2 linked regions of the Arabidopsis thaliana genome follow. The protein of the gene in region 1 interacts with the protein of each later gene in a pairwise test. Each region holds a gene or a part of one and is shown on either strand. Other genes may lie near its edges.

Region 1 (3,765 bases):
TTGGAGACATTAATGATAACCATGTCGGGATTAATATCAACTCTGTTACTTCCGTTGTTGCTGAGAAAGCTGGTTATTGGGTTCAGACAGGAATTGGGAAAATGAAACACTGGTCGTTTAAAGAGTTCAAGCTGAGTAATGGAGAGAGGTACAAGGCTTGGATTGAGTATAGAAACTCCAAGGTTACAGTTACTCTCGCGCCAGAAACCGTTAAGAAACCTAAGAAGCCTTTGATCGTTGCCCATTTAGATCTCTCTAAGGTTTTTCTTCAAAATATGTACCCCGGTTTTTCTGGTGCCATGGGCCGTGGCGTTGAACGTCATGACATTTGGAGTTGGACCTTCCAGAACAGTGCCAAGAGAATCTAAACCGGTTCTGTTCGGTTATGCTTTTTCTAATGTATCAGAAAGTTGTAACCGGAATGAATAAAATAGCAAATTTTGTTGTTTTAATTGTTTGTATTTGACTATTTACACAGTATCCTATCCTGCTAGGACCTGTGCACTTGTTGTTATGTTGATTCTTCATTCTAAAAGATTCTAAGTAGAGACCTGACACACAGAAACATCACAAGACTCGTTTCAAGAATCAAAAATTGATGCAAAGCAGAGTAGTTACTTAGAGTAGAATTTCAATGGAAACATCTCATAACATTACACAGATCAGTGTTTGACTAAGCAGTGTGATAAAAATTCAAAACTTCATGTCGATCTGCGGTGGGAACAGTCTGCCACGGTGATTGAATATCATGAAATCCGAATTATCTGGTAAAAACACCGCCCTGCAAATTTTTTGAAAGAAACCAGTTAACAGGAGATATTCACTTTATCTAGCAAAAGCCAAACTCAAAACCAATTCAAGAACCTAATGTACAAAAAGGTAGGGGAGAGGCTGCGACATAGAAGGAACCAAAGTGGGTCTAAAGAGCCAATGAAACAAATATAAACTGATTGAATTAGCCAGGAGCAGAACTGGTTAAAGCTCTTGAAACCCATAATCGTAACTGGACCAAATATAAACTAGAAAATGTCCCTTTGAATGTCCTGCATTTTAGAAAACCTTAGCTGCACAAAGTATTAAAGAAACATCAATGTTTGACCTAGAACATCTCTAGACGACAGTTTCTTATCAATAAACATGAGTCTTTGGTGGTCATTCAATCATCGGGAAATATAATAACTACCAAATTTCCATGTTTCAGATTGATAAACACTGATGCACAACAGAGAGTTAAAGAGACATCAAAACTAGACCCTCGAAACATCTCTAGAGCACAAGTTCTTTGAATCAATTGATTAACAACACATCCGTAAACCTTCTCAGTCAAAAGAAAACATATTCACTAGAAACACCCATGATTAAACTGAATAATTGAACCAAATCTAGCCAGAAGATGCTTCTATAAGACCCGTAGTAACTCTACACCAAGTTCAACAAAGTACGAACAGAGAAAAATTCAATAGTAAAAACACTCACTAGATAACATGAATTCAGATTGATTAACACTGATGCAAAACAGAGAGTTCGAGAGAAACATGATCACAAACCTGTTTTCATCAGAATCCGGATGGATCGAGAGAAATTTACCAGGGAAAGTCAAAGCAGCCCACATACACAGAGCTAGTCCAATGATCAACTCCAGAATAACCTTAAATAAATCCAATCATGATTCATATAAAAGCATAATCATTGCTGATATAATTCAAACACAATTGAGGAAAAGAGAAACCGTTATCATTATATACTCACATTAATCGGTGGTCGAGAAAACTCTTCCTCCATAATCTTCAACAATCCTCTATCTGAAATAAACAAGAGAAACCCAAATCAAGATCCTATCTCGAAAATTAAAGTAGATCTGACTCAATTGGAACTGGAATTGGATTGGGAAGAGTAGACATACATTGGATTGTTGAATAAGCGGCATGAGAAAGAATAAGAACGCCGAAAACTCCAACTAAGAACCCCAAATTCATCTTTAGAAGTTCTCTTTTTTAATTTTCTTCTTCTCTAAGTTGATTCCCGATCTGGATTTTCTCGTCGAGTATTCTCCGTCGAGAATCGAACTAGAATAGAAGACGATCAGTGGAGTTTAAAACGGCATGTAGTTATAATATCGCAAATCTCAAAGTGAAAACGGCGCAACGTCTAATATCGAAGAGACTAACAACGGCGCGTAGTTCTAGATTGATGATATCCTAGATTCCTATTAATCTTTTGTAACCCAAACTTTTTTTTAAGTAACTAATATTTTTAATTAGATGAAAGTTCAGTTAGTTTGATAACTTTTTTACAACAATAAGGGTTTATCTTTTGGGAAAATAATTATTTTTTCGTATAATAAATAATTATGAATATTTATTTAGAATTTCATATTGATGATATATTCATATGCAAACAAAAATTTCTGCAATTATTGAATTGAATCGTATGTTGATAACTTCGTATAAAAAAAACGGAAATCTATTTTAGAACAAAGAAATCAAATGGTAAGATATTAAATTTCTATTTATAAAAAAGTAAGAAAAACATGTAGCTTGCTTTGGTACCGCTACCTAAGAACCTTCTATTCCTTTCTTGTGTTTGCTAAAACCAGAAAGTAAAACTGTTATCCTCACCTCTCTTTTACTTTTATTTTCAACTTTCCCCCATAACGTTTTTAATAAACATTTACGTACCCTCGCCACACTATTAAAATAAGTTTAAAATTACATCAAATTTTTTAATTCTTCATATAGGTAGATTTTTGTTTTGATTCTCGATAAATCATATAATAATATAAATTAATTGATATGATGTTAAGGGAACATGGGTGTATTTATCACAACACCTAGTTTTTGGAACTTTTCAAGATAAACTTAAAAGTTAAGGGTCGCTTATTTTTCCAACAAGAAGGAAATCACAGAGCGTATAAAATCCCGAGTTCAGCTCCCTTGAGATCCCATTCATCATCATCATCATCATCACCAATCGATCTCTCTAGAAACAAATTTCCCAACTTCCTTCTTAGAGCTCTCTTGTCAGTTTAAGCTATCATTATGTCAAACGAACCGGAATCCTCCGACTCGTAAGTACTTAGATCTTTGATTTTTGTTTTCCGATCATAAAGTTTCGATTTTTTTACTTGGGTTTTTCGATATTGAGAATAGGGTTTTTTAGTTTGATCTCATCTGAAAGCTGATTTTGTTTGTCTTCCTGGGGTATTTGTTTCAGGAAAACTAAGAAGGATTTCAGTACTGCGATTCTAGAGAGGAAGAAGTCTCCAAACCGACTTGTTGTCGATGAAGCTATTAACGATGACAACTCTGTTGTCTCTCTCCATCCTACTACCATGGAAAAACTCCAGCTTTTCCGAGGCGATACAATTCTCATCAAGGTTAGGTTTTGTTCCTTATGTCACTATGTTAGGGTGTTTTGAGTTTAGACTTGGTTTGGATCGTCTGTGTCTTGACTGTATATCACGAGCATGTTGTAAACATATTCAGTTATGTTTTTTACTTTGTCTGATCTTGTAAACATATTCAGTTAGGGTACAACTTTTTTGTCTGAAGTTTTTTTTTTTGAGTTTAGAATTGGTTTGGATTGTTCTTTTTATCTCTGTGATTACTTACTTGATTGGGGTTTTGGATTTTCAGGGTAAGAAGAGGAAGGACACTGTATGCATTGCCCTCGCTGATGAAACATGTGAGGAACCCAAGATCAGAATGAATAAGGTTGTAAGGTCTAACTTGAGGGTTAGGCTGGGAGATGTTATTTCTGTTCACC
Region 2 (5,313 bases), on another chromosome or scaffold:
GACAAAGGGTTTGGGGGAAATGGGTTGCTGAGATACGTGAACCAGTGAGTCACCGTGGTGCAAACTCTAGTCGTAGTAAACGGCTTTGGCTTGGCACGTTTGCTACTGCAGCTGAAGCTGCTTTGGCTTACGACAGAGCTGCTAGTGTCATGTACGGACCCTATGCCAGGTTAAATTTCCCGGAAGATTTGGGTGGGGGAAGGAAGAAGGACGAGGAGGCGGAAAGTTCGGGAGGCTATTGGTTGGAAACTAACAAAGCCGGTAATGGCGTGATTGAAACGGAAGGTGGAAAAGACTATGTAGTCTACAATGAAGACGCTATTGAGCTTGGCCATGACAAGACTCAGAATCCTATGACTGATAATGAAATAGTGAACCCAGCAGTGAAATCAGAGGAAGGTTACAGCTATGATCGATTCAAATTGGATAACGGATTGTTGTATAATGAACCTCAAAGCTCCAGTTATCACCAGGGAGGTGGATTCGATTCATATTTTGAGTATTTCAGATTCTAGCTTAGGATTTATGCTGCATCAATATACTATGACTATGAGACTATGTTTTTTACATTGTTAGTTTACTCCATTTTCATTTATCTTAACTTAAGAGTCACGCATCATACCGCAAAAAACAGTGATCCGCTTCATTCTGGCTTCTCTGGAGCAGACCATAGCATTTTCCATGGACCGGTTCTTGTCCCCAATCTGAAACATGACGCAGTATCCTTTTAAGAAAAATTTCGGATGGGTTGAAAACTTGAAACTAGAACGGTCTTTTTAATTAATTGTTTACCTCCAGGCTCCAGCAACCAACCGCAACGCCATGAAGAGGAACAAACCAGTCCAGATCCCGGCAAGGCCAAACGTTGGTGCAGCCACAAGCATGAACAAGGAAGATATGAATCCGACAATCACCTGTTCCAAAATGAGAAATAATCAACTTTTTCCAGGTGAAGAAAAGGGAGAATCAAACGACCAATTGATGAAGAAGGAAAAGGGACCATAGAATAAGCGGCAAATCCGAAGTCAGAGACACCATAATAGAGCCCATCCAAAACAAACGCTAGAGCATTCACCGGTTGAGATCCAGCCACAAACTGCATCCAGCCAACATTATTTAGATATTGTCTGAGACTACCCTTTTCAAACTCTTTCTGGATTAAAAGATAAGATCTTACTAAGGTCCCTGACAAAGCAATCTTTAAAACTTCTGAATCCGTTGTGAATAAGCTTGAAAATGGTTCGAAAGTGATGAACAATACAGCAGCCAAACCAGTTCCAGTTGCTAAACCTACCTACTTAAAAGATTGCAATTGTACATTATAACATCGAATATATAGGGTAGGATATAAACTAGGGATGTAATGAATTATGAATACGAACTTGAAGGACTCCGAAGAGAACTTCCCGGGCTTGTTTGTATTCTCCTTGAGAGTAAGTGGTGGCAAGAAGACTCTGAAAATAGAGGTAGAAAATATAAGTGAAAATCTTCTCCCCAAAAGGTAATCTTGGATCATGCTAATGGGATTCTTATATCACAGTAAATCTTGGTAGAGATTGTCTGTTTCGAAGATGATTTGCAAAAGATATTAGACCTGTGCAGCAATGGCTAAAGCATCGGTGAGTAAAGAGACAGCCAACCAGATTTCCAAGACGATTTGATGGCCAGCCATTTGAGTGGGTCCATTTTGAGCTGCTAACGAAGTAGCTAATGTGAATGGCACAAGCAAAGCCACCGTTCTACCAATGAGAAGCCCACCTAAGCATGAATCAATACATTTCATATAGTAGCCTTTCTGAATCGTTTAAAGAAAACTTGAAAATTTTAAGGAATTACCTGATTTGAGGTACTGGTTGGCTCTTCCCACTTTGATTTGAGGAGAGAGCAAAACTACATTCTCATTCAACTTCCATAGAAGAATAAATGCAATCAAGTATCTGAAGAAACGTTGACAAGTGAGAAACATAAGAAGCCACAAATTAAGATAGATATGCTTTACTAGAAAACGAGTCTATTACCACATTTTTGGACATACTCAGAAATCACAGTAGCAGCCGCAGCACCAGAGATACCAAAACCAAGGACAAATATCAGGATTGGATCCAATACCGCATTAAGTACATTCCCCGCAACTGTTGATATAGAGTTCACCATATTAGAAACATGTATGTGAAACTGCTAATGCATATATACGGTCTAGTGAGCTAATGCGCATATACTATTTATTTCCTCAGATCCATTCATGCATAAATACAAAAAAAATAGATGATTGTGCAATACTTGCCAACGGCATATAGAGGCGTTGTTGTGTCCTTGAAACCTCGAAAAGCTCCTTGCGCAGCCAATGCAACAACAATTGGTGGTGCACCATACGCTCGAAGTCTGAGGAACTGCTCTGCTGGTATCCGCATTGGTGAATCCTAAAAAAATTACAAACCGAGAAAGAAGAGCGATCAGCTATACAAAACTTCAAAGATAACAGCTTATATAAAAGAAGTTCAACGTGAGCTTAGAGACATTACAAAAGGTATAGCCATGACATCCATCAAGAAATCAGACCCGAGAGATAGCGCAATGGCCTCTGCAATACCAACTCCAGCAGCAAGAACTAATGAAGTTGAAACCGAAGGCAGCACTTTCTTGCCTTTAACACCAACAAATAAACAACAGATTCAAAGTAAAGAAACAATCTTTGAAGAAAACAATAAAAACATTTTTCATTATAAGCTTTAAGGAAAGTAAAATACTTGTTTCTATAGAATCATTATCATCCTTAGCAGCAATTGCTTGCTCCTCCGCAACAAACGATGTTGTGACATTTAGTAAAGGAACATTGAAGAGCTTCGACACCAAATTGAATACAGAAACTGACACTCCTACTGCAGCTAATTCCGCAGAACCTGTCACATTACACATATGAATGTTAAAAATGTGAACTTTCGAAAAATGTGAAATTGTTGAAACCAAGCAAAAAGTAAGTATTTACCAATATGGCCAACGAAGGCAGTGTCGACAAGAGATGTTATAGGATCAGCAGCTAAAGCTAATGCAGCAGGTAATGCAATTGACATTATCTCCATTCCAATTTTACCAATCCTAAACCCAAAAAAATCAAATACATTAGAAACCATTCAAAGTTGAATACAGAAGAAGCATTATTAGGCTAAGGTACGAACCCAGGATCCGGTTTGTGATCATGATCCGGTTTATTCTGTGAAGTCAGAGGATTCTGCTGCTTTTCCGGTCGCTGAGAAGAAGTGGAGACGGCTGGAGATTCATCGCGAGGAGATGATTTACAGACGATTGTTCTTCGAATGGATGAATTAGGGTTTCCAAAACGTGACGGCGATCGATGGGGAGAGAAACAGAAGGAGGTAGCGACCGCCGCCATTGCGGAGAACGAGAGACGGAGAAAAATCTCGGCGGAGGAGGAAGAAAGAGAGCCACATGTTGATGTTCACTCTTTTTATCTATCTCTACTCACTAACTGATTAAACGGTCACATGTCTAAACTAGCTGTACCTTATGGATGGGCCTTTAATGGGCTTTTTATTGGGCTTTTAAATAGCTTGTTTGTTTGTTACTTTGTTTTTTGTTTTTTTTTCTGCCAATGTTACACTTTGTATCTTTAAGATAGCTTCATCTTTTTTCTTTGTTGTGCCGTGACTCTCATATGTAAGTCATGAGTTTGATTCGTGTATTATCACTCACTTTCTCAATTTAGCAACAACTCAAAAGAAATATCTCTTTCTCCAGTTATCTTGTGACTTGGATTTGCATTTTTTTTATACACTTAAAATTTTGTTTAGTTGTTTTTTGAATGGATCCAAATTTGGATTATAGGTCCGCATATTTTGATTTTTGGGAGTATATTTGAAATCCGCATATCTAGTGTTCAAGAATCTTGATATAGAAAGTTGTAAGATCATTTGATATCCTAAAACTCAGAATTCTTTTTTTGGGTTCAAAAGCAATAACTAGTTCTTAAGAGCATATATTGGGAAAAAATAAAAATAAAGATCAAGGACGTGTTTCATGATTCAGCAGAGTTGGTTTTTGTTTTGTTTTTTGGGTTCAAAAGCAGAGTTGGATTTTAATAGATAAAGAAACATAGAGTACAAGAGTAAGGCATAGAATTGAAGTCAGCCAATTTACATCGAAAATTGGAGCGTTAGTTAAAAGAATTTATTGAGAGAGTTGCGACGCCGTGCAGCATCAGCAGAGCAGCCTCACATGACTTGCGGTCCCAGCAAATTACAGAAGAAGAAGACCTATCCTCTCTCTTTTTGAACAACCTGATTATGCACGTTGAAATACAGTAACACGTCTAACACTAGTATCATATTAAGTAAATAATACTAAATGGACCATATAACTCTTCATTCAACTTTATCAATAATGTAAGTTTGTAAGGTATTAATTAAATACCGGGGTTTACTTCTCCTATGATTATTTTATAACATTAGAATTTTGTAGTAGCATTAGGCTGTATTTTGAAAAGAAAAAACCTTTGTAATAGCATTACTATTTTACTCAGTAGTTAGAAGATGTGTTAGGAACTTGTATATGATTGGTCGGATCGATTACTGATTAAACCTTAAACCGTTGCTCATTGGTCTTTTTTATAACAATTCATAATATAACATATGAAAGAATGAAATACATATAATATATAGCTTGGGAACGCGTTCTCCTAAATTCCATACAACAGTTTGTCACTAAAATACCAAATTAGTAATTCTAAATACCAAATTATCCATTATTGACCAATACTGGTTATCATCCATTCCAAATTTAGATATAGACATACTTAGTGGCACAGGCTGTATACAACAGTTTGTCACTAAAATTCATTGTAAATGGCTACTTTCTCCTAAATTCAATACAACGTTTTACGTTGCAACCTTTGCAAAATATAATGATTTTTACAACGAAAATGAATACTACATATCCCAACGTTTTGACTATATTATAAATCCCAATGTTTGCAGAAAGTCACTGGACTACCAAGACAAACTAAATAGTTATTTAGTTTAAACAAGCGAGATGTATAACTTCTATATACAGAGCAACTATCTTTGGTTAGAACTCCGGACCATAAATATATTCGTACTAAATTGGCAAAGAAACAAACATGCATAGAATTCAAATTAGAAATTAAATTTCCGGTTTCTTGTATTCGATCTCTTTTTCTTGAATGTTACATAAATTCATGCAATTAACATATTAATAAGGTCTCTGAAGAAGAAAGTGAAAACGTAGAAGAAGAATCACCAAGAATATGCGACCAAAAAACTCACCATGAAGATAACA

Evidence for each region.
Region 2: the proteins of AT5G03345 (region 1) and AT2G38330 interact in a protein complementation assay, tested with the Arabidopsis thaliana proteins (one large-scale study listed by BioGRID).

What each region holds. Positions count from the first base shown.
Region 1 is NC_003076.8:812,407-816,171, reverse strand, and holds AT5G03345 (membrane magnesium transporter-like protein), read right to left. Parts: upstream 2,088-3,765; 5' UTR 1,977-2,087; coding exon 1,900-1,976; intron 1,803-1,899; coding exon of another isoform or gene 1,799-1,802; coding exon 1,750-1,798; intron 1,649-1,749; coding exon 1,457-1,648; 3' UTR 865-1,456; intron 782-864; coding exon of another isoform or gene 694-781; 3' UTR 553-693; downstream 1-552. Other genes in the region: AT5G03350 (Legume lectin family protein), read left to right, coding at 1-368; AtCDC48C (ATPase, AAA-type, CDC48 protein), read left to right, coding at 3,039-3,067, 3,214-3,376, 3,636-3,765. UniProt on the Arabidopsis thaliana protein: Mediates Mg(2+) transport.
Region 2 is NC_003071.7:16,062,649-16,067,961, reverse strand, and holds AT2G38330 (MATE efflux family protein), read right to left. Parts: upstream 3,460-5,313; 5' UTR 3,392-3,459; coding exon 3,177-3,391; intron 3,097-3,176; coding exon 2,987-3,096; intron 2,901-2,986; coding exon 2,748-2,900; intron 2,645-2,747; coding exon 2,523-2,644; intron 2,421-2,522; coding exon 2,285-2,420; intron 2,133-2,284; coding exon 2,036-2,132; intron 1,938-2,035; coding exon 1,837-1,937; intron 1,759-1,836; coding exon 1,595-1,758; intron 1,455-1,594; coding exon 1,383-1,454; intron 1,295-1,382; coding exon 1,178-1,294; intron 1,097-1,177; coding exon 1,001-1,096; intron 915-1,000; coding exon 793-914; intron 705-792; coding exon 644-704; 3' UTR 525-643; downstream 1-524. Other genes in the region: DREB19 (Integrase-type DNA-binding superfamily protein), read left to right, coding at 1-515.